Linked DNA regions of Yarrowia lipolytica. The protein of the gene in region 1 interacts with the protein of each later gene in a biochemical or structural test. Links are inferred from orthologs where the notes say so. Each region holds a gene or a part of one and is shown in the gene's direction. Other genes may lie near its edges.

What was found.
Region 2: the proteins of YALI1_F36760g (region 1) and YALI1_B17132g form a complex in vitro, tested with the Saccharomyces cerevisiae proteins (4 studies listed by BioGRID). The link is inferred for Yarrowia lipolytica from reciprocal best matches to the Saccharomyces cerevisiae genes TIM23 and PAM18.
Region 3: the proteins of YALI1_F36760g (region 1) and YALI1_B27254g form a complex in vitro, tested with the Saccharomyces cerevisiae proteins (12 studies listed by BioGRID). The link is inferred for Yarrowia lipolytica from reciprocal best matches to the Saccharomyces cerevisiae genes TIM23 and TIM50.

The regions. Positions count from the first base shown.
Region 1 is NC_090775.1:3,672,289-3,679,856, forward strand, and holds YALI1_F36760g (uncharacterized protein), read left to right. Parts: upstream 1-3,759; coding exon 3,760-4,407; downstream 4,408-7,568. Other genes in the region: YALI1_F36733g (uncharacterized protein), read right to left, coding at 191-1,060; YALI1_F36742g (uncharacterized protein), read left to right, coding at 2,002-3,054; YALI1_F36781g (uncharacterized protein), read right to left, coding at 5,187-5,873; YALI1_F36794g (uncharacterized protein), read right to left, coding at 5,947-7,158. UniProt on the Saccharomyces cerevisiae protein: Essential component of the TIM23 complex, a complex that mediates the translocation of transit peptide-containing proteins across the mitochondrial inner membrane.
Region 2 is NC_090771.1:1,709,598-1,715,425, reverse strand, and holds YALI1_B17132g (uncharacterized protein), read left to right. Parts: upstream 1-2,179; coding exon 2,180-2,626; downstream 2,627-5,828. Other genes in the region: YALI1_B17112g (uncharacterized protein), read right to left, coding at 3,098-4,213; YALI1_B17105g (uncharacterized protein), read left to right, coding at 4,842-5,828. UniProt on the Saccharomyces cerevisiae protein: Essential component of the PAM complex, a complex required for the translocation of transit peptide-containing proteins from the inner membrane into the mitochondrial matrix in an ATP-dependent manner.
Region 3 is NC_090771.1:2,722,954-2,730,047, forward strand, and holds YALI1_B27254g (uncharacterized protein), read left to right. Parts: upstream 1-2,491; coding exon 2,492-3,892; downstream 3,893-7,094. Other genes in the region: YALI1_B27211g (uncharacterized protein), read right to left, coding at 1-264; YALI1_B27280g (uncharacterized protein), read left to right, coding at 5,031-5,199, 5,248-5,972; YALI1_B27293g (uncharacterized protein), read left to right, coding at 6,411-6,995.

The DNA.
Region 1 (7,568 bases):
ATGTGTATGTAATATGCTTTGAGGACATTGAGAATATTCCCGACTACTTTCATCCCCGTTATATCTACAGGACCGTACACTAGAAATAACAACTTCAATCTACTAAAATGCTACTCAGCCAATATCTCAGATTATTCGTTTGTTACGCTAAAGATGGGTTTCATTCATTCGTTCACACTTTAAATGTGCCCTATTTCTTCACCTCAAGCAAGCTATACACATCATTTCGTCTCTGGTCCCACAGAGGCATATTGGTCCTGACCTTCTTCAGCTGCTCTAGGTTGATATCGGCAACAATAACTGCAGCCGAAGAGTCTATGTCGCTGGCCTCGGCAAGAACAGTTCCCCAGGGGTCAATTATCATGGCGTGTCCGTAGCTTTCTCGCTTGCCGTCCTCTGTGTGTTTTCCAACCAGCGCTGGCATCATGACATAGCATTGGGTATCGATAGCACGAGCTCGGGCAAGAACGTGCCAGTGGGCGGCGCCAGTTCTGACTGTAAACGCCGAGGGAAATTGCAGAATCTGGGCGCCTTGCTTTCTCAACAACAATGCCAGCTCAGGAAACCGGATATCATAACAAATAGCAGGTCCAACTGTTCCCACTGGGGTCTCGAACGGCTTGGGAAGTTCAGACCCGGGCTCTACTGACTTTGATTCCTGCAGAATAGGACCGTTGGGCACCTCCACGTCGAAGAGATGCACTTTTTGGTATCTGTTGACAATGTCTCCGTTGGAATCAAGCCACAATAGGGTGTTTCTGACCCGGTCAGAAGAAGAGGACAGCTCATGAACTCCTACTGAGACCTCAATTCCAGACATTCCGCTCTGTTTGATTTCCTTTTGAGCCTCCCTGATTGCTGCGATCATGGGCGAATTTTCAGCATTTCGTGCAAGACTCAACCCTTCCTTAGGCGAGCCAGAAATGTAGTCGGAGGCTTCAGGGAGGAACAGAGCCTGGGCGCCCAGGGCTGCTGCTCTATGGACTAGTCCTGCAACAATAGAGGCATTGTGAGTAAGTGAATTGGTTGCACAAAATTGGCCGACTGCTGCGAGAGTCATGACGGGATGGTGGAATGGGGAAGTGAGTGGTTCGAGAAGGAAGAAAGATAAAGTATGATAAGAGAAGATGCATATTGGGACTGGTCTTGATTTGTGATGTTACTGTAGCCAACAGTACAAGTGTGTAGGCAAGGGTCGGAATGCGCCATTCACTTCAGAGGATATCCATTCTAGTCAAATATTGATGTTCCAGATATATTCCGTCTCTGAAGTTGGAGCAGTTTCATTACAGTCCCTCCAACTCTACCAATTCTGTAGTGTGGCTTGGTGTAAGGCCGAATTGCAGTTTTCTTTTTTTTTTTAGTGAAACTGGATTGAATAAAAGATGATTATGGTATGTACTGTACTCTGATGTTAGATACCCTTTTGGTTCTGTGGAACTCATACCCCAATTCGATTATTTGGGGGGGGGCTGTTCTGTGGAAATTCATATTCTGAACACTAATTTTCACGTCTTTTGAATCGCACAATTAGTCAGCCCAATGTAGGTCTACTTGCAATGCTCTAAACGAAGGGCCAAAGTCTAATTCCACCTTTGAAAAGTCCAAGTTCAATCTCACTGCCGCCATTCAGCCACTTGGACCTCCAGTTACCATGCGCTGGAACCTTCCACTCCCGAAGTGAGGCTTTATCGGGTCTACAACAACACAACACTGAAAAGACAGACTTGTGGGCTGCAGGTTAACTATAATGTTCGGACTTGACGAGGAGGAGCTAAACACGACCGTGGAGAAGGATGTTGAAGTGGTATCTACAAGGCATTTTAATCAATATATGAATACTGATAACAATTTTTGACGTGAATACCTCTTTTATTGCCCTCAAATAAGTCTTTTCAGCCAGAAATCACGTTCGACCCAATGCCCGGAGTGCATGAATGATCAACTTTATTCCCGAACATCTAACATTCTTCTTCAGCTACACTCTCCAACCACACAACAATGGATGAAGACGTTCTCGACACTCCCCGAGATGGAATCTACATTCCCTCGGCTCTGCTGATAATGGGAATGGGCATTCTGGCCTACTACTTGGAAAATCCTCTGATTTTCGTCGGAGGAATCTTCATCACTCTGGGCCTGGCTGGTCTCAAGCTCTACCGAGGATCGGGCTCGACTCTCTTCCGGGGCCAGAACGATCTCAATGATCTCGAGAAGGAGGATCCCGAGTTCCTCACCGCTCACTCAAAGCTTAAGCTTTACGAAATGGCTGTTTCCGAGAAGGTGCTGATCAACAATGACACCTCTATCTACACCATCGATCTGCCCTCTCCCCGAGACACTTTGGGCATCAAGCCCGGCCAGCAGATTGGTGTTCGAATTGAGTGGGACACCAAGGTTGCTGGAGGAGCCGGGGTTGCCATCAAGCATTTTTACCCGATTCAGATCCGACCTGGATCTTTTGACATTGTCGTTCGGCACAACCGAACCCCTCTTAACCTGCAGTACAAACACAACAACGTGGGAGGCAGTGAGGACATGGTCGGTCGATATCTTGATGGAATGAAGGTCAACCAGCACGTCAAGGTCATTGGCCCCATTGGCAAGCCCTACTACACCCACAACATGGTTAAGGAGCTGCTCATGGTCTGCAGAGACACTGGCATCCAGGCCATGCTGCCCATCATCAACGAGATTATCTACACTCCCGAGGATCTCACTTGGATCAACCTGATCTGGGAGACTGAGACTGCTGATGCCGCTTTTGTCCACGACGATCTGGCTGAGATTGCCCGTGTGTACCCTCGAATCAAGATCCGACATGTTATCACTGGCCCCGGACAAGTCTCTGAAGAGACCCCTGCCTCCACGTACGATGGTCGTCTGGGCTACTCGTTTGGCTCTCCCATCTCTGAGAAGCATGTCAACGAGCTACACGACTCCAAGCTCGAATACGACGAGTCCCTAGTGATCGTTTCTGGAAAGAACCCTGATGATTCCCTTCATCTTTCCACCGAGGCAGGCAAGACCGGCCTTCGAGCTATTGTTGTTTAAAATGTACCACGTAATGATATCATATTTGAAAAAAGAGAGCCTGGATCTACAAGTTATACCTGTATAGTATGGATATTACCATGTCCATTTTAATAAAATTCGTTTGAACAAGAGATGGCCATACATGTAACAAGATAAAAAAATTGAAATTGATTTTTGAAAGGTTGGGGTCGGCTATTGGGGAATTTGAAGTTTCAGTTATAAAAAATTGGTGCCGCACTATCGTCTGGTAATGTTTTAATATTTGTCCCCTGCTGGTTCTTGTGCAATGACAGGTGGCAATTTTGAGAACTACTGTGTGTTACCAGTGCCACCATTGGAGTCCTTGTAGCTATCGCACTGTATCGTACTGCCAACTCTGCTACAGTAATTACTCTGCATAAAACTGCCACTGAATAAGCTCTTCTTCATTGGGAGATATAACCTTATTCTTTCCACTCACTCGTCGCGAAATGACTCAATGAGACTGGATAGATCAAGTGATGGGTCTGTTATGATGATATTTTCCAGGTGTAAAGTCGTTAAGTCTATACAACTGTGAAAAATAAACCACCCCTGGTCTCGGTTCACCCCAAACACAGACCCTAACCTTTACAAAGTGACATTTTCTTAATAAGCAAGCCCCTAACCCTGAAACTTGCGAAAGTGAAAAAAAGTTGCCTGTAGTCAACCATCCACCCCACCCAAAACACACATCAAACAACTATGTCCTGGCTATTCGGAAAGAAGAAAGAGGAACAGCCCAAGGTTGAGGAGGTCAGGGAGGTGACCTTCGACCTGGACCCTAACGCCAACTCCGCCGCCTCTTTCCTCAACGCTGATCTCGACACCACAAAGCTGCATCCCATGGCTGGTCTCGATGCCGGCATGGAGTACTTCACTCTCGAGGGCAATGAGACCATTTACTACGATGGTCTGCTTCCGTCTCGAGGATGGAACGATGACCTGTGTTACGGAACCGGCGTTCTGTACCTCTCTGGTCTCGGTGTCGGAGGTTTCTCGGGTCTAATGGAAGGTCTGCGAACAGTCCAGGAGGGCGCACCAGCCAAAATCAAAATCAACCACGTTCTTAACACAATCACCAAGCGAGGTCCCTTCCTTGGTAACTCCATGGGTGTTCTGGGATTTTTTTACAACATCATCAACTCCAAGATTCTCTACGACATCCGAGGTAAGCACGACTCCTTCAACTCTATTGCTGCTGGAGCCATTGCCGGAGCCATTTTCCGTGCCCCTCGAGGAACCAAACCTATGCTCATTGCTTCTGGTATCACCGCTGCCGGAGCCGGTGTTTGGTGTGTATTTAAGCAGGCTGTTTTCGGTCCTCCTGCTGAGAAGACTCCTCTTGAGTAAACTCGATAAGAGGTACATTGTACATACGCGGGCGGTTGTTCGAAGAGTAAGGCGACTTCCCTAAAATATATGAGTAACGAGATAATTCGTGTAGATATGTGCACATCATTTGTAGTTCAGGTATTTGAGAGTCCAGGTGCTGAGTATTCTCAACTACTCGAGACAAGTAGTACAAGCACAAGTACAACTAATGGACACAGACAAAAGATCAAGCAAACAGCTGGTATTGTACTTGTAGTCGACTCAGAACTTTTCCGAACATCAATACCTCACTTCAGAACTACAGGTGGATCCATAACTCTGAAGAGCCCCAAAAAGGATATTGTCCAGGAGAGAAGACAAATCGAAGTTATATTATATCTGAGCCTATTATTAAGATATTATCTGGTATAGTACTATATCACCCATTCAATGTGTCCCTATACTCGTGCCGTAGGGCCTGGTTTGCAATTATGATCCTCAGTTTTCATGCATGCTGCATCATGTGGAACATTATAGAACCACCAAACATGAACCTCGGAACTTTGCAGTCTGAAGCGTTGGCATAAGTATAATTCCCTCTAATTATTGCACTTTAGTTCAAGAAACAATATATCGTACATACCTCGTACTCGCCCTACAAACAAAATTTCAGTGTCATCTACTCCAACCAATAGTGCACGTGCTTACTTCTAAATTCTCCATACTGTAATTACACATCTGCCATCAAATACATTCTCCCCCATCTATAGCTAACGTCAGTGCTTCACGATAGTAACTCGCATCATCGTCATCGAAGTTCAGATGTAATCAGGTGAAGTTTGAAAGTAGGCATCCCGGTCATTTGAGGCATCCTGGTGTTCATAACCTGAGATATCGTTGCTGGTAAAGTACTCTTCGTTTGAATGTTCCTTGCTACTTATAGCGTAGTCGTCGATGTGCTCATCCTCTCGGGTTGTAGAGACTTTTGTAAATGTACCATCAAAGCCACCACAAAACCAAACATTCTGAGGACAGTAGAGCTGTTTCCTGGTATCTCGCCAGTTGTACGAGCGAAAGAAGGGTATCTGGTTCTGGTCAATGTATACTTCATATTTGGCTTGTGTTGATTGTGCCTTTCGACTTGCATCCTGTTGGATATCACAGACTTGAACTAGTTGCGAGCTGAGCAGGCACTGATGCTCATAACTAATCCACAGTTGTCTTTTAAGATGGTTTAGTTCCCAGCCGTCTGTTTTGTTGTGATCTTTCCCCAAAGCTCTCATTATGAAGTCGTTCAATACCAAAAACAGCGTTGCCAAACAAACCAACTGACATGCCTTGAGCAATCCTAGGGACCAAGTGTCGTGCTGTGATAGCTCCGTTGTAATCATCTGGAGAGTTGTTTCAGTTGTTGAATCTGTGGGTGGCCTCGTTTGTATCTGTATCGATGTCATCCTAATCAACAGGAAAATATACCCGCACTTTGTGTAATCATACTGTAGCATACATTCTTATTTAAATAACACTGTCTTTCTATAATGCAACAAGAGCAGTTCCTAATCCTTAATTTTTCCTGATCTAAACAGCCACCCGCTTCGCAGATGTCTGCTCCTCAGCCTCCAGAGCATGCTTGCCAGCAGCCAGAGGTGTCTCTTCAACCGGTGCCTCTTGAACGGCCTCCTCAACGTTCGAAACCATAGATTCCTCCACCTCCCTTGTGGCCTTCTCCCCCACCTCTTTGATAACCTGCTCTTCAGGCTTTTTGGCTTCCTCCTCGGCCCTCTCCTTGAGCATTTCCTCGTACTGCTCGTTAATGTACTTCTCCAGACTCTCGCAGTCCTTCAAAGCAGCCACTTTCTTATAACTGGGACTCTTTCCGGGGATCATGCGAGTCAGACAGTATTTTGTGTTCTGGTAAAAGTTGTCATACTCTCGACAGATATCAAGGTACTCCTTGGTCACCTGCTGCCAAGGGAGCATACCTTCAGCTCTGAAACAAGAAGCGTTAGCCTCGGCTGCTCGGGCAATCATAGCTCCATCGATGCCGTACTTTTCCTGAAGATCAGCAAGCTCATGTCGACCTTCAACATCTCCGTTAACAAGGCAGGTGATTCCGTGCTTGTGACACACCTCAGCTACCTTGGCCAAAGTATCTCGAATCACAGGTTCTCGAGGTCGCATGGGTGTAGTTCGACAGTGGATCGTCAGGTTTTTGACTCCGGTCTGAGCCAGCCTGTCCACAAGCTCCAGAGTCTTCTCTTCCGTCTCCAGCAGTCGGATCTTGACTGAAATGCTAACATTGAAAGGCTCTCCCACCTCCTTCACCAAGGCCTCCAGGATAGCAACCAGCTTATCGGGGGTCTTGAGCAGAGCGGCTCCCATACCTGCATGCATGGAAAAGTGCTTGGGACAGCCACAGTTGAGATCAATACCAGCGACGTCCTTGGCAACCATTTTGCAAGCGGCCACGGCGATCTCGGGGTTAGCCGAACCCACCTGGAAGATGATCTTGTCTCTCTCAGCCTCAGAGGTTCGGAAAATAATGGCCTTTTTCTCAGTGTTTCCCTTGCCCTGCTGACTGACAGTAAAGTCGACCGTCTTGGTCTTCTCGTTCCACTCTCGGGTGCACTCCAACATCTTCTTGTCCACAATCTCGGGACTCCACACCAGATCAGCCCCGTACTTGATGGAGAGCAGCCGCGTGGGGAACTCGCCGGAACGCACCATGGGCGCCAGTACCAATTTTCCAGCGTAACTGACCATGTTGCTAAGTCGTAGCGTTGGTCTCATGGAAAGTTGGAAAATGGAAAAAAATGGATGTTCTAGGTCATGTGATGCACTTTTTTTCCCTGCTATGAAACTCAAACCCTTATCTGCAGATGGGAGAGAGACGAGTCATAAGGTTGTAGGTTCGAGTTTTGGAAAAGGGGTATTTATGCACATTATAACATATGGATGGTGACCATTAAATGGTGGCTAAGTGTATTAGAAAAAAAGGGTACAAGGGGTTGCATGTATCAATAGACAGAAGCCTGGTGATGTATATCCATCATCCATCTGCCCATTTTTTTACCCACACCCTGTTACAGTGTACAGTACTGTAAGTATATTCTTTTTTCCAATTGAGTTGAGTTTGTAAGGTAATCGCTGATGAGACGTTTGATTACCTACGGCGATGAAAGTCACCTTTTCCCAAGGTT
Region 2 (5,828 bases), on another chromosome or scaffold:
AAAGGTGTTAGAGTGTCATGAATGTCATGAATGTCATCTGGGGGCGTTTTTACTGGTTTAGTCGATTTGTAATGCCTCATAATACTCCCGGATAGTCATTTTACGTGCAATAATGGTCAAAAACGACAAGTGTACATAATCTACTAACCGCGCCTCCACCTGCGCCGTGCAGAACAGTGAAGGTACATTAAAATTAAACACAAAATTCAATGCTGCCGTATGTTTTGAGGAGCGCAAAAGTGCGGAAAAGTCACGTGAGGCGTTTGTGTACGCTCCCAGGGAATTTTTATTACGGGAATGGTTCTATGTCTTGCAATGCGTATAGTAAGTGGCGCCACGTTCAAAGCCGCTCAGCACATTCTCAGCTAGTATATCTCGATACGAGCTGACAACAAGGAACATATTAAGCGAATTTGAATTTAAACGAGCAAAAATGAGCTTAATTGTGAAACAAATCAAACAAGGGACAAGAAACATGGCGAAATTCGGTAAAATTCATAGAGAGGAAGAATCTGATGGGAAACAATATCTGATATAATCTGAAAAAAAAAAAAAAAAAAAAAAAAAAAAAAAACACTACAAGTACAGGCCAATATCCCCTATTTCCTATTCTACGTTGGAGTGCCGTGTATAAAAAGGGTCCAAAGTAGCTTCGTAACCCCAAAAGCATACCCTGCCTGGATAACATGTTACATGCCACTATGACATTTGATGAGGACAAAGACATCACAGACGAGTATAGAATATACATACCGGAGGAATTGTCACGAAGGTCGCGACGGCAAATGATGGTGCATACGGGGGTACTTGAAAAGGTCGAGTGAGATTGAAGATGCTACAGGCCATACGTCTGTGTACATACTGGTGTGGCGATGGGAATTAGGGACTGTGGTCCCATACATGTACCACAGCACAGAGAAGGGATCTATGGTGTTAGAAGATAGCTCATCTGATAATCACATATACAGTATCATATTCTCATACCATGTTGTAACATCAGTTCCCCCAGTGCCTTAGTGCCCATTTTTCTTGATGTAGCTACAGAAATCGATGCTAATATGTACAACACTTGATGTTATCATCAGGATGCCAACTTGTAACGAACTCGACTCTTGCCACTACTTTTATCGCCGGTACCACTAACTGGATGCACCAGAATGGCAATTAGCCTGTGGTTTGGTCACTGGTGTAACTACAATACTCGTGCCTGTAGTTAGACCAAGCTCGTAAATCAATGATACTGTAGCATGTCCATCAACTTATAGTCTACTGTAATAGATTGTGCGCGATCTACAGTGCACTGGTGATATTCTAGTAGCTACACTACAAGCTCTAGCTACCTCTATAAGCTCCAGTACATTCAGCTGTGGTCAACTTACCAAGATCAGGTACATCTTAGATCTCGTACTAAGTCACCGGCTCAGGAAATTGGGACATCTCTTCGTTTATATCGTCCTCACGACTCTCCAGTATGATCAACCCTTTCCCTGCACACACACAAAACTCAACCCCGCTTAATAAGGGCGTTCGGAGATACTGCGGGACAGGTTTTGTGGGGGATTCTAATGACACAAGAAAGAAAACACCGTTCTAGAATGGATGTGGGTATATTTATCAGCTTTAAATAATCAGAGCCAATTAATAGATCCCATAGACACCTATATGATTGCTGGAAAAACCCATTCATTCGCCATCTCTATGTATTAGAGTTTAGGATTGTTATGGGGAGAGATTTTGGGGGTTACTTATACTCAACTAAATTGGGTGTCATTTTGGGTAAAAATTGTTCTGACAGAAACAACACACTTCCAATATATTATCTGTGAAAATTTATTCCAAATAGATCTACTATTAAACGTCTTATGAGCATCCCGAAGTTGAGATCCGCAAAGCTTACCTCATTTTAACCTCGGTATTTAGTTATACTCGATCACTTTACACGGGGACGTGTGATAGCTCCTAAAGGGAAAATGTGGTATCATTATCGTACTCTTCTCGTTTATAGAAGCACACTGGTATGTTCTAAATTCCCTTAGCACACCTACATCGTCCCCCAAAGTCTTCCCTGTGTCTTCTGCATGCTGCCAAAACCAACCACCCAAATTCGAAACTCAAAGTATATTTTGGTGGTGAAAAATTGAGTCTGACATCACCACTCACCACAGCACACTACACAACCATGAGCACTACCCCCGTCCAACCTCTGCAGTCGGAGCCTCTGATGGACTCCGAGACCGGCGTCGCTCCCCAGATCGAGGCCCCCCAGGTCCCCGAGGGCCCCAAGAAGGGCATCGACGAGCAGATTTTCGACTACTTTGCCGAGCACCCTGTCCAGGCCACTGCCGCCACTCTGGTCGGTCTGTATGCTCTGGGCGCTGTTTTCAAGCGTCCTGCTGCCGGCGCTCGAGGCCAGTTCTTCAAGGGCGGGTTTGAGAACAAAATGGGTCCCTCCGAGGCTCTGCAAATTCTGTCTCTTCGAGACGCCGGTCTGACCATGAACAAGCTCAAGGGCCAGCACCGAAAGATCATGTTGCTGAACCATCCCGATCGAGGCGGATCTCCCTACGTTGCCACCAAGATCAACGAGGCTAAGTCTGTTCTTGAGAAGCGGGGAGGACTCAAATAAACAACATGATCGAAGCAAATGTTGTGTGTTACAGGTGTGTTTCCCCTTGTGATGCTGACTCACAACGGCTTTAACCACCAGTAACTGCGGAGCATCATTGCAAAGGGCAATAAGAAGGATGTATATAGGAACGGCGGACGCCAGTACGGTTGTCCGTTGCTAATGAGATTGATGGATTTGAATAGTGTGTAGAAGAGAACATATCATTGTGAGGTCGACACATTTAGTTTGCGTGTAATGGCCCAGGGTGTATTTATTGCAGTCTTTCGAGTCTGCTGTTGTTATAGATTGCGTTTCTGTGCTCGCGAGTATTCTGGAAAGTTCCATGTCACGGATCAGTCTTAGTCAACCAGGCATCAATACCAATATGAACTACCAGAAGCCACCAGTACGGTCTGCATGCGTATTTCATGTTTATATTATCATCTACTTGTCTCCTCTGACACCTGCCATCAGAGAGTTCGAAGCACTCTACGTTTTGGTGAAAATACACACCACATCTTCGTCTCCAATCTTGTGCGAAAGACCACATTTCTGCGGCGAGTGCTTGGCCGACACACCCCACACCAACGCGTACTTGAACTTGTTCTTCATGTCTCTGTGAATAGTGTCACAGACATCCTCGATAGTGTTGTGAGTGGATCTAACCACGGTGGGTTCAGCGAAGTCCGGAAGCTCTCCCTTTCGTTTTGTGTAGATTCGTAGCATGGCGAGGTCGGCCCAGATTCGTTCCGTCAGATCATCGAGACCCAGCTCCATGGATGCAGAAATGACCACGGTGTCAGGCATGTGAGCAAGCCGGTCGACCTCCTCCAGAGACACAGCGTCACACTTGTTGTAGCAGTATAGACACTTGATGTAGGATCTGTGGTCGGCGTGGATCACGTCGATCATATCCTCGACCGTCACGTTTTCATCTCGGATCAGCACGTCGGCGTTGTGGATCTTGTAGTCCTTGAGCAAGTGCATCACCATCTTCTCCGAGAGGTACTTGGGCGGGTTGGTATAAGAAAATTTGACGCCTCCTGTCTTTTTAATCTTGAAATAAATGTTGGGCGGCTCCTTGTTAAGTCGGATGCCCACAGACTCGAGTTCTCGCTCGAGAATAGCACGCTGCTCCTCAGGCTTGGTAGCATCCAGAACCATGAGCACCAGGTCGGCAGTTTTAGCGGTCGAAACAACCTGTCGACCTCGACCCTTACCCTCGGAAGCACCCTGAATAATACCGGGCAGATCGAGAATCTGGATCTCGGCTCCATTGTACTCCAGCACACCAGGAACTGACGTCAGGGTAGTGAAGGCGTAAGCAGCAATCTCCGACTTTGTGTTTGTGATTTTGCCGAGCAGTGACGACTTTCCAACAGAGGGGAAGCCAATAAGAGCCACTCGGGCATGTCCAGACTTGCTGACCTCGAATCCTTCTCCCTTGGAAGTCGAACTTCCAGGAGCAGGCTCCAGAAGCTGTTGTCGATATCGAGCGAGCTTACCCTTGAGCAGACCAACGTGGTACTCGGTTGCCTTGTTTTTCTGCGTCCGAGCCAGCTCCTCCTGGATCTGTGTGATCTTTTCTGTGATTCCGATAGCCATCTTTGGGGAAAAAGAGTTGTGCCGTTGTCGAGATACAGTAGTTGAAATTTAAGAGTAGCTTTTCACCTGCATGTATTAGAGTTACACGTACTGTAGGTGGAAGGCGTAAGGGGAGAGGATGGATAGCAGGTGGTTGTGGTTGTTTTGGGGGGTATACAACTATTAAGGAAGCTGAATTATTCTATAAGGAAACAAAGGTCGATCCTCATTGATAAACTTCTCATTGATACTATTCTGGTCCTCGTAGCGAGAACAGGTCTGATCACATTGTATGTAAGAAAATACAGTCATAAGTGGGAATCGAATCAAAGACACATCTTAGTCATCCTGATACTTGACTTCCTAACTAAACTTCAACAAATACCTCCTGTCGAAATCAAACTTATAGAACTTCCTCAAATTTCAATATAATCCATAATAATAGCCCCATACCCCTTAATTCGGTTTCTTGGTACTTTCCCTCGTTAATTTATAATCTCACCTCTCCCCTACAAGTACGAGTACCAAGTTCCATTGACTACCCACACCACGCCGCTCCGACCCTAACCCCAAAATTCAGCATGCATAACTCCATTACATGTAACACGACACAACGCATCACTCCACGCTACGCACTACAATAGCAATCATGTCTCTGTTTCTCGAAACAGCAAAACTCACAGCCAGTGCGCAAATACACGCTCTTGAGACGCTTCTGGCGAGCTCTCCAGCCTTCTGCGCCTCTCAAAAGGAAGACATTTTGCACATTCTTCTGGTTCTCACTCCAGAATTGCTGGATCCAAAGGAATACATGGGGCTCGTCAACAAGGTGGGAAAGGGGCAATTGGACAAGGGACAAGATACGGGTAGTGTGGTTGGAGATGAGGGATTCATTCCAGAACTCGTGATCAAGTCTCGAGAACAAAAGCTGCTGGCATACCTCGATTCAGTGGTACCCAAACCTGTGCACAACTTTCTGGAGGAACGAATCCGACTCGTGTTCAAGGTATCACATGATACGCAGTTGATGGAGCAGCTGATCCTGCAGAGTGGTTACCACAACAACTCGGAGGAAGTTGATTGGGTGGCAGGCGTACCCCAGGTGCTCATCAACTACACGCGTCTACATGGTATCAACCCTGGGTTGACAATTGATGAGCTGGAGAACGGAGATCCTTCCCACGTGATTGAACTTCTGGGCTCGCATCTGAGAACGCCCTCTGCTGAGGACGACTTGCAGCTTGTGTTGGAGCCTTACGTTGCTTACAAAAACTGCTGGGCTGTCTTCCGAGATTTTGTGAGTCACGTGACACAATCCAATACACCTCTTTTAGCTACTTTGGCGCATAACGTGACTTTCCCCGAGTCCGAGCGAGATGCTTTCATTCAGATCGTGTTGAAGAACTCTTTTGAAGCTAACGATACTCAATGGGATGCTCTTGCTCTGATCACAGAGTCTCCTGCGGTTACTGGAGCTAGTCATTTGACCAGCCATTTCACGAAGCAGCTTGTTGAGACCTGCCGGTTGTTGGAACCTGCTATTCCATCTATCACCCTTCAACGGGCTAATAAGGTGACTACTTCTGGGGAGGAAGTTCAAGTGGATCTTCTGGATGACTTTGTGTTTGCTGAGGAC
Region 3 (7,094 bases), on another chromosome or scaffold:
GCGTTCTCGACACTCCTGCTCAAGCTCAAGAATGGAGTTGAGCAGGCCTCGTTCTGTGTCGCTGCGGGGCTTGGAGTTCTCCACCTGCTTGATTTTGGCATTGATGGAAAACAGGCACAACGTCCAAGCCTGGAGAGCGGGGCCGTCTTGCTGGGCCGTCTCTAGGAGCACAGCCTGAAGAGTGCCCTCGTGGGCATCGTCGTAGATGTTTTGCAGTTGTTGCTGGAGCTGCGTCGGGCCGCCAAACAGACTGTAGTTTGCCATGTGTTGATGTTAAAGGGGCGAAGAGTACTGGGTGATTCTGAAACCTGAAATTTGCAGAAACGTCAAGTGCGGTTGCCTAAGTTAGTTTAGCTTAGATATGCAGGCGGGATGGTCCAAGGGATGGAGGTAGAATTCAGAGAAGGTGCAGAAACGCACGAGTTGAAACGTAGACGGAGAGTTGAGGAGGAGGGGAACGGCGGTGGCAGTCGATTTCTTATCGCATCGGTACATTTATCGACTATTTTCTCTCTATAAGAGTACGCCCACTTTTTTTCCACCATCCTGAGCACTCCACTTTTCCAACTATATTTAGAACACTTGTTTTCCAGCAAGTTCTGGCCATGGCAGAAAAACGCATGGCATTCATAAACACACTGAAGAGAGACGTGTTCGAGTGTGACCCTTTTTTTCTTGCGGCAATGCAATGCACTGGGCTGATCGAAAGGTCGAAATATACAGGTGCTCACGTTATCCAAGCCCCAGTTTTAAACGGCTTTTCACTAGTCCACATATGACGGATTGTGCAATTCTCGTACTTGTACTGTAGATTCAAAAGAGCACTTCCTTTAAACACCACTCTACCAGCCTCATTTCCCCACCTCTAACACCACTGTCGTTATAACACAACACGTACTGTACTGTAAGAAACCTACGGCTGTGAGACAAGTGCACATCTGGGAGCGCTCAGCCCCACAAAATGCCCTAACCTTCAGTGACCTCATACGGCTGATAAGCTGCGGTCTTCCGGGTAACAGACACACGGTCTGTATTACGCACAGTCTATACTGACCGCCTTGTCTTGGAGTGGAGGCACGTGGAACAGACCTCTTTTCATGCACCCAGTCCAAACTTTGTCTTGGAACGAAATTGCAGATGATAGGACGAGAGTGTATGGTGGGGCTGTGGTTGTATCACTACTGTCTTGCGGCATATACAGCCTCCGTTGCTGCCAGTTCTGATATTATTCTTCTTAGCAGCTCTCAACTTCTCCCGTTTACGGTTAACCTCAATTCTCTCAGCATGCAGTGTCATTTATTGGGTTTGGAGGTTTTGAGATACCATTATCGCAGTTGTGGATTGGGCATAAGTATATTAAAAAGCTGTACGTACATATATAAGTATTGCTGCTGATGTTGTTTGGTGACAATGTACGCGCGAGTACCGGTAGCAACCAGACAATAGTTGCGTCTGGTGGTATTGTTTTGTCTTGTGTTTCAGAGGTATACAACGCTTCTTCATATCACTCAGCAACCAGCTCCATATAAATGCCGCCCAGTCCCCATGGAACCCACATAAAACCCGCCGATCACTTTTTAGACTAATTACCTAGCTACACTACTCTGAGCCTGTCTATGTTGTATTTGGACCGAATACTTCCCAACTGGTAGCCTCGTTTGCGATGCGAGCCCTTTATGGCTCTCCCTGGCTCGGGTTCCTTGTACTCGTACCTGTGGCTCGTAACATCTCTCGATCATTGTCCTAACCCTGTGTCCCAACCTGGCAACCTACAAATAGCTGTATGGGAGCCATACAAACACTCACGGCTTTTTCTGTGTGCACTGTAAGCTCGCTGTAAGCTCGAAGCTGGACTTGCTATGCAAGGGGCAGTGTTCGATCGAATCAGTGAAGAAAGATAAGGGATTCCTGTAAGTAATAGGTTAAGTACCAATGGCTCAAATAGTTGGAAATTAGTTGGGGTTCTGATAAAGACAACATCTCGAAAAGTATACCAATCTGTAAAGATAGTGACAGACAGTACACTTAGACGAATCACCTCTCGTTATTGTCTTATTTTAGCCCTCAAAATCGACCCTACCTCCCTCCCCAGCATCACCGACATCAAGCCGGTGTCTGACTAAGACAATTACACTTTTGGTGGGAGACGCACTCGATTTCTCAGAACGCATCACTTGACATCACTTTTAGAACCCAAAGGAAAACATGAACCGTCATTTTCACCGTTGAAATTTCGGGGTTAAAGAAGTGTACAGAAAATCCATACGGAGGGCTAAACGACCAACGTAAAGATGAATAGAATGGCGGAAATGGAAATCCTCAAAATAAAAATGTGGGAATACTCGCCACCCAAGCTGCCTTATAACACCCAAGTCCACTGGCTCTCGTCAGTGGCAAATGTCACTCCACATTACCGCCTTGTAGAAGTCTGTAGGCCCCGAAACAAAGTATATTAGATTTTCCACTGCACATTGACTCTTCATCATCCACAATGCACAGTCTACTGCGAGCAGCCCAGATTGCACGGGTGGCACGTCCCGGTGTCAAGCGGGCCATGACCCCCGCCGTGCGATTCTACTCGGACAAAAAAACCGAGAAATCCGACCAACCGTTCCAGAGCTCTTTGCTGAACGACGATTTGCTGGCCCAGGCCGGTATGGACGTTGATGAGTCCAAGGGCAAGAGCAAGCCTGCTGCTGAGGGCAAGTCCGAGGGTGCTGCCGAGGGAGCTACTGAGGACGATGTCACAGACGAGCAGCGAGCCCGATGGGCCGGAACTGCCAAGAAGTCCACCGACCAGACCTCCAAGCAGGAGTCTCGAGAGCGAATTGCCGGCTACGGATACTACGCCTTCTTTGCTGGATCAGCAGCTTTCGCCGCCTACCTGGCCCGAGACTGGGACAATGAGGAGGACAAGAAGAAGCATGATACCATTGGCCAGGGATACACCCCCATGCTCATGTGGGCCCGTCTCAAGGCTCGAATCGGAGACACCTTTTCCTTCTACCGAGACCCCGTGGCTCCCGTTCTTCTCCCCGATCCCCCTGCTCCCCCGTACCAGCGACCTTTGACGCTTGTTATTGCCCTCGACGATCTGCTTGTCCACCAGGAGTGGAGCAGAGAGCATGGCTGGCGAGTGGCAAAGCGACCTGGCGTTGACTACTTCCTGGGCTACCTCGGCCAGTACTATGAGATTGTTCTTTTCTCTTCTCAGTACATGGCCAACTGCGAGAAGCTCATCATGAAGCTTGATCCCTACCACGCCTGGTTCTCCCACGTTCTGACCCGAGAGCACACCACTTACGAGGACGGTAAGCTGGTCAAGGACCTGTCTCTGATGAACCGAGATATGGGCAAGATCATCATCATCGACCCCGATACCGGATGCACCATGAAGCAGCCCGAGAACTCCATCCCCATCGAGCCCTGGAAGGGAACTCCCGGCGACAAGGAGCTGGTCAAGTTGATCCCCTTCCTGGAATGGCTGGTGTCTCAGAACGTGAACGACGTTCGACCCATTCTTAAGGCCTTTGATGGCACCTATCTGCCTGACGAGTTCACCCGACGAGAGGCCATTGCCCGAGAAAAGTTCGAAAAGGACTGGTACGCCAAGCACGGAAAGGACGGCCAGTGGGCCTCCAAGTTCCTGGGTGTCTCCGAGCCCAAGCAGCAGAAGCCTCTGATGCCCCACGACGTGATGCGACGAGAGGGCCAGAAGCAGTACCAGAAGTTCCTGGAGTACCTGGCCGTTGAGGGCCCCAAGCTCAAGGCCGAGGAGGAGCGAATGATTGCTGAGCAGAAGGCTATGGGACCTAAGAACCTGTCGGAGGCTGTCTCCAGCATTGGTTCTCTACCTCCTGTGCCCCAGCAGCCCACTGAGCCCAAAGCTTAGATGTATATAGTATGAGTTAACGTGGCACGATGAGTGATAGAGCCATGAGCGAGCCATGTGTGAGCCATGTGTGAAGCGAATGGTGAAGCGAATGACAACGCGATTGGATAAATGTAGCTGCTGTAGCCGTAGTCCGGGCCTATTCAATCGCTGGCTGAGAACTGTTAGTCACTGCCCCTTCTTCGCTACAAACTGTCTGATGTATGTCTGTTGCACAAGCGCATATATATATCCCGTGTCTGGTGAAGGGAAAGGACGACGGCTGGGGGAAACACAAATATATATCAAACGCGATGTGCACTTTTCATATCAACGACTTGCTGTTATCTTGAGATGAGCCAGATTGACTCTGATCTGTTACCCTGATAACGACGCACCCAGTTTATTTATATCTTCAGTATGCATTGATACGAGCTGCCTCGGTATGAGCCCTGGTATCTCTTTCATCAGACTATAAGTACACACCAAGTTTTTTCCGAAGTTGATGAACATACAAGTATTAGTATGAGTACATTATTCTGGAAGAGTGGCGACGAAACTGTAGTCTCGTTCTTCTGACTTTTCTCGCTTACAGTCCTGAGCCGGCTGAACAGGGCTGAGTTTAGATCCTCCTCATGTCTTAAACTCGTACGTCACATGGTGAGTTATATATAATGGACGATGATGGGCGATGTGAATGAGTAGAACAAAAGTAGTGAGAGGTGTTTAAACAGAACGTGCAAAGCTTCCAGCTGTTCCCTCTCACTTGTCATGCTCTTCTCAAGCAACCCTGTCTTAGCTATTCCCGCATCACTCATCTTAAATGTGTCCGGAGATAAGTAAGCTTCAGCTGCCTGTACAGTTTGCGAGTCCCAAACTATCCAGGCGATAATAATAGTTCTCCATGAGTACATTACCGCGGGTATCTGAGGTTGCTTTTGGGGTGTCATTCTGTAACAGTCTCATCTTTTTATATTGCTCAATGCAAAAATCGCATTTCCAGGTCTCTGTGGGGCCCACCACTTGTCGAAACAGGTGTTGTTATGATGTCGGATTTTCATTTACCCTACTCACGTGACGCCCAAGACATGTAGTACAGAGACTTTAATCAGACTGAACCATCAACAGCTCTGCGAACTTGCCTTCTTACGACCCCACAATGGCCCAGTTCCCGCTGTTTCAGAAATTCCAAAAGGCGATACAGCACCCGCCGGCCCTGTCGCTTGGGCTGCCCATTTTTCTGACCGTCATTTTCCTGTTGTCCCAGCGATATGTGTGGATTGAGGACGACCTGGAGCTGCGAAGCACCGCCCTGACCAATTTCGAACGTGAGTACACCGCAACAACACACCACTATTTTCCCCCTCGCTAACTAGTCAACCGAATCTCATTCTACCCCCTGGTCCATGCCACCTGGTTCCATCTGCTGCTCAATCTTGTGGCGCTACAGCCCATTGTGTCGCAGTTTGAGCGAGTCAATGGAACTGTGCGAACCGGAATCGTGCTCAACATTCTCGCTGTTGTCACTGCCATTCCCTGGTGTCTGTTGTCTATCGGCTTCTTCCCCGATGAGGCTGTCCTGGGCTCCTCCGCCTGGATCTTCTCCTTCATGGGATACTGGGCCATCCGGGAGTCCTCCAAGCAGCCTACCACCCAGCTGGCCCCCAACCTCGTGGTGCCCACTTGGCTTCTACCCATCATCTACCTGGTTGTCATTGCCATTGTCATCCCCAGCTCTTCCTTCATTGGCCATCTGCTGGGACTGATTGCTGGCTGGATGATGGCTCTGGGCTACCTGGACGTACTCATTGAGCCTTCGTCCAAGGTGGTGCTCTGGATCGAGAACAAGATCTCCAGAGTCATTGACCTGATCCCCTCGTCCATCGTCACTTTCTACCGAGAAGAGGGCGCTTTGGACACTCGAGCTGCCGCTCGAGCAGACACCAACCGGTCCCTGTCCGTGTCTGGCGGCAACTTCCTGGGCTTCCAGGCCAACTCCAGCCAGGCCGATCTCGAGGCCGGTACCCGGTCTCGAGGCAACAGCAGCGTTGACCCCACCACTTCTTTCCCTGGAACGGGCCAGACTCTTGGTACCCAGTAAAGGACGATACCAAAATGAACGTAGAACATGTAAACATGTAATGAGCCATGACCTTTTAAGTGAGTTACAGGTGTAGGGTGTTTGTGCGACTGGTGTAATACATGTACACAAGAAATATAGTGCCCTGTATCGTAGATTGACTACTGAAGATCCCAGGGTGGATGGATGATGTACATACCAGCTACACTTTGTAGTATCGATATGAAGCTGGGAACGCACAGTGGGACTATCACGATGACAAAAACTTGAAACCATGCAATTAATTATGTGTACTCAATCGTTCGTCTTCACAATCTACCTCTGTATCGTTCTCTCTCTCTATGATCGTTGCCCCCTTCATCTCAGAATCAAAGTTCGGGATATGCATGTCAGAAATTTTTCTGTTATCTCGCAACTACACCTGCACATTCCCCAGAGGACATTATTGGACCAGCTAACATGTTGACAGAAGACCAGATTGACGACGTCATGTTCGACGCCCGAGGAGGCGAGCTCGAAAGCATTGAAAAGTTCTTCTCCGCTCAGGACAAGCCCCTTGAGACCCTCAAAGAGGTCAAGGACCAGTACACAGAATCCACCCCTCTGCACTATGCCGCTGCCAACGGTCACATTGACGTTGTCAAGTATCTGCTTGGTTTGGTTGCAGAGGATGCCGAAGCCCAGGCCGCTCTCATTTCCGCCCAGAACGACTCGGGCAACACAGCTCTGCATTGGGCAGCATTAAACGGAAACCTGGACATTGTCAAGCTGCTGTGTGAGGCCAAGGCCGATCCCTTCGTCAAGAACCAGAGTGGACAAGATGTGCTTTACGCCGCCGAGAACTTTGACAAGGAGGATGTCATTGACTACCTGCTGGAGAACTATGATTATGCACCCAAGGAGGATGAGAACATCAAGATTCGATATGAGGATGAGGCTGACGAGGCTAACGAGACTGACGAGGCTGACGAGGCAAAGGAGGAGACCGCTGAGGATAAGGAGACTGAGGAGGTTACTGACACCCTCAAGACCACTTCTGTTTAAGCACATAAAAGGATATTTAATAGATTGTATGATTGATAGAGTTGTGTGTGTGAATGTGCTTGGTAGTTGATGTGTTGTTGACTCATGGACCTTGTGCCT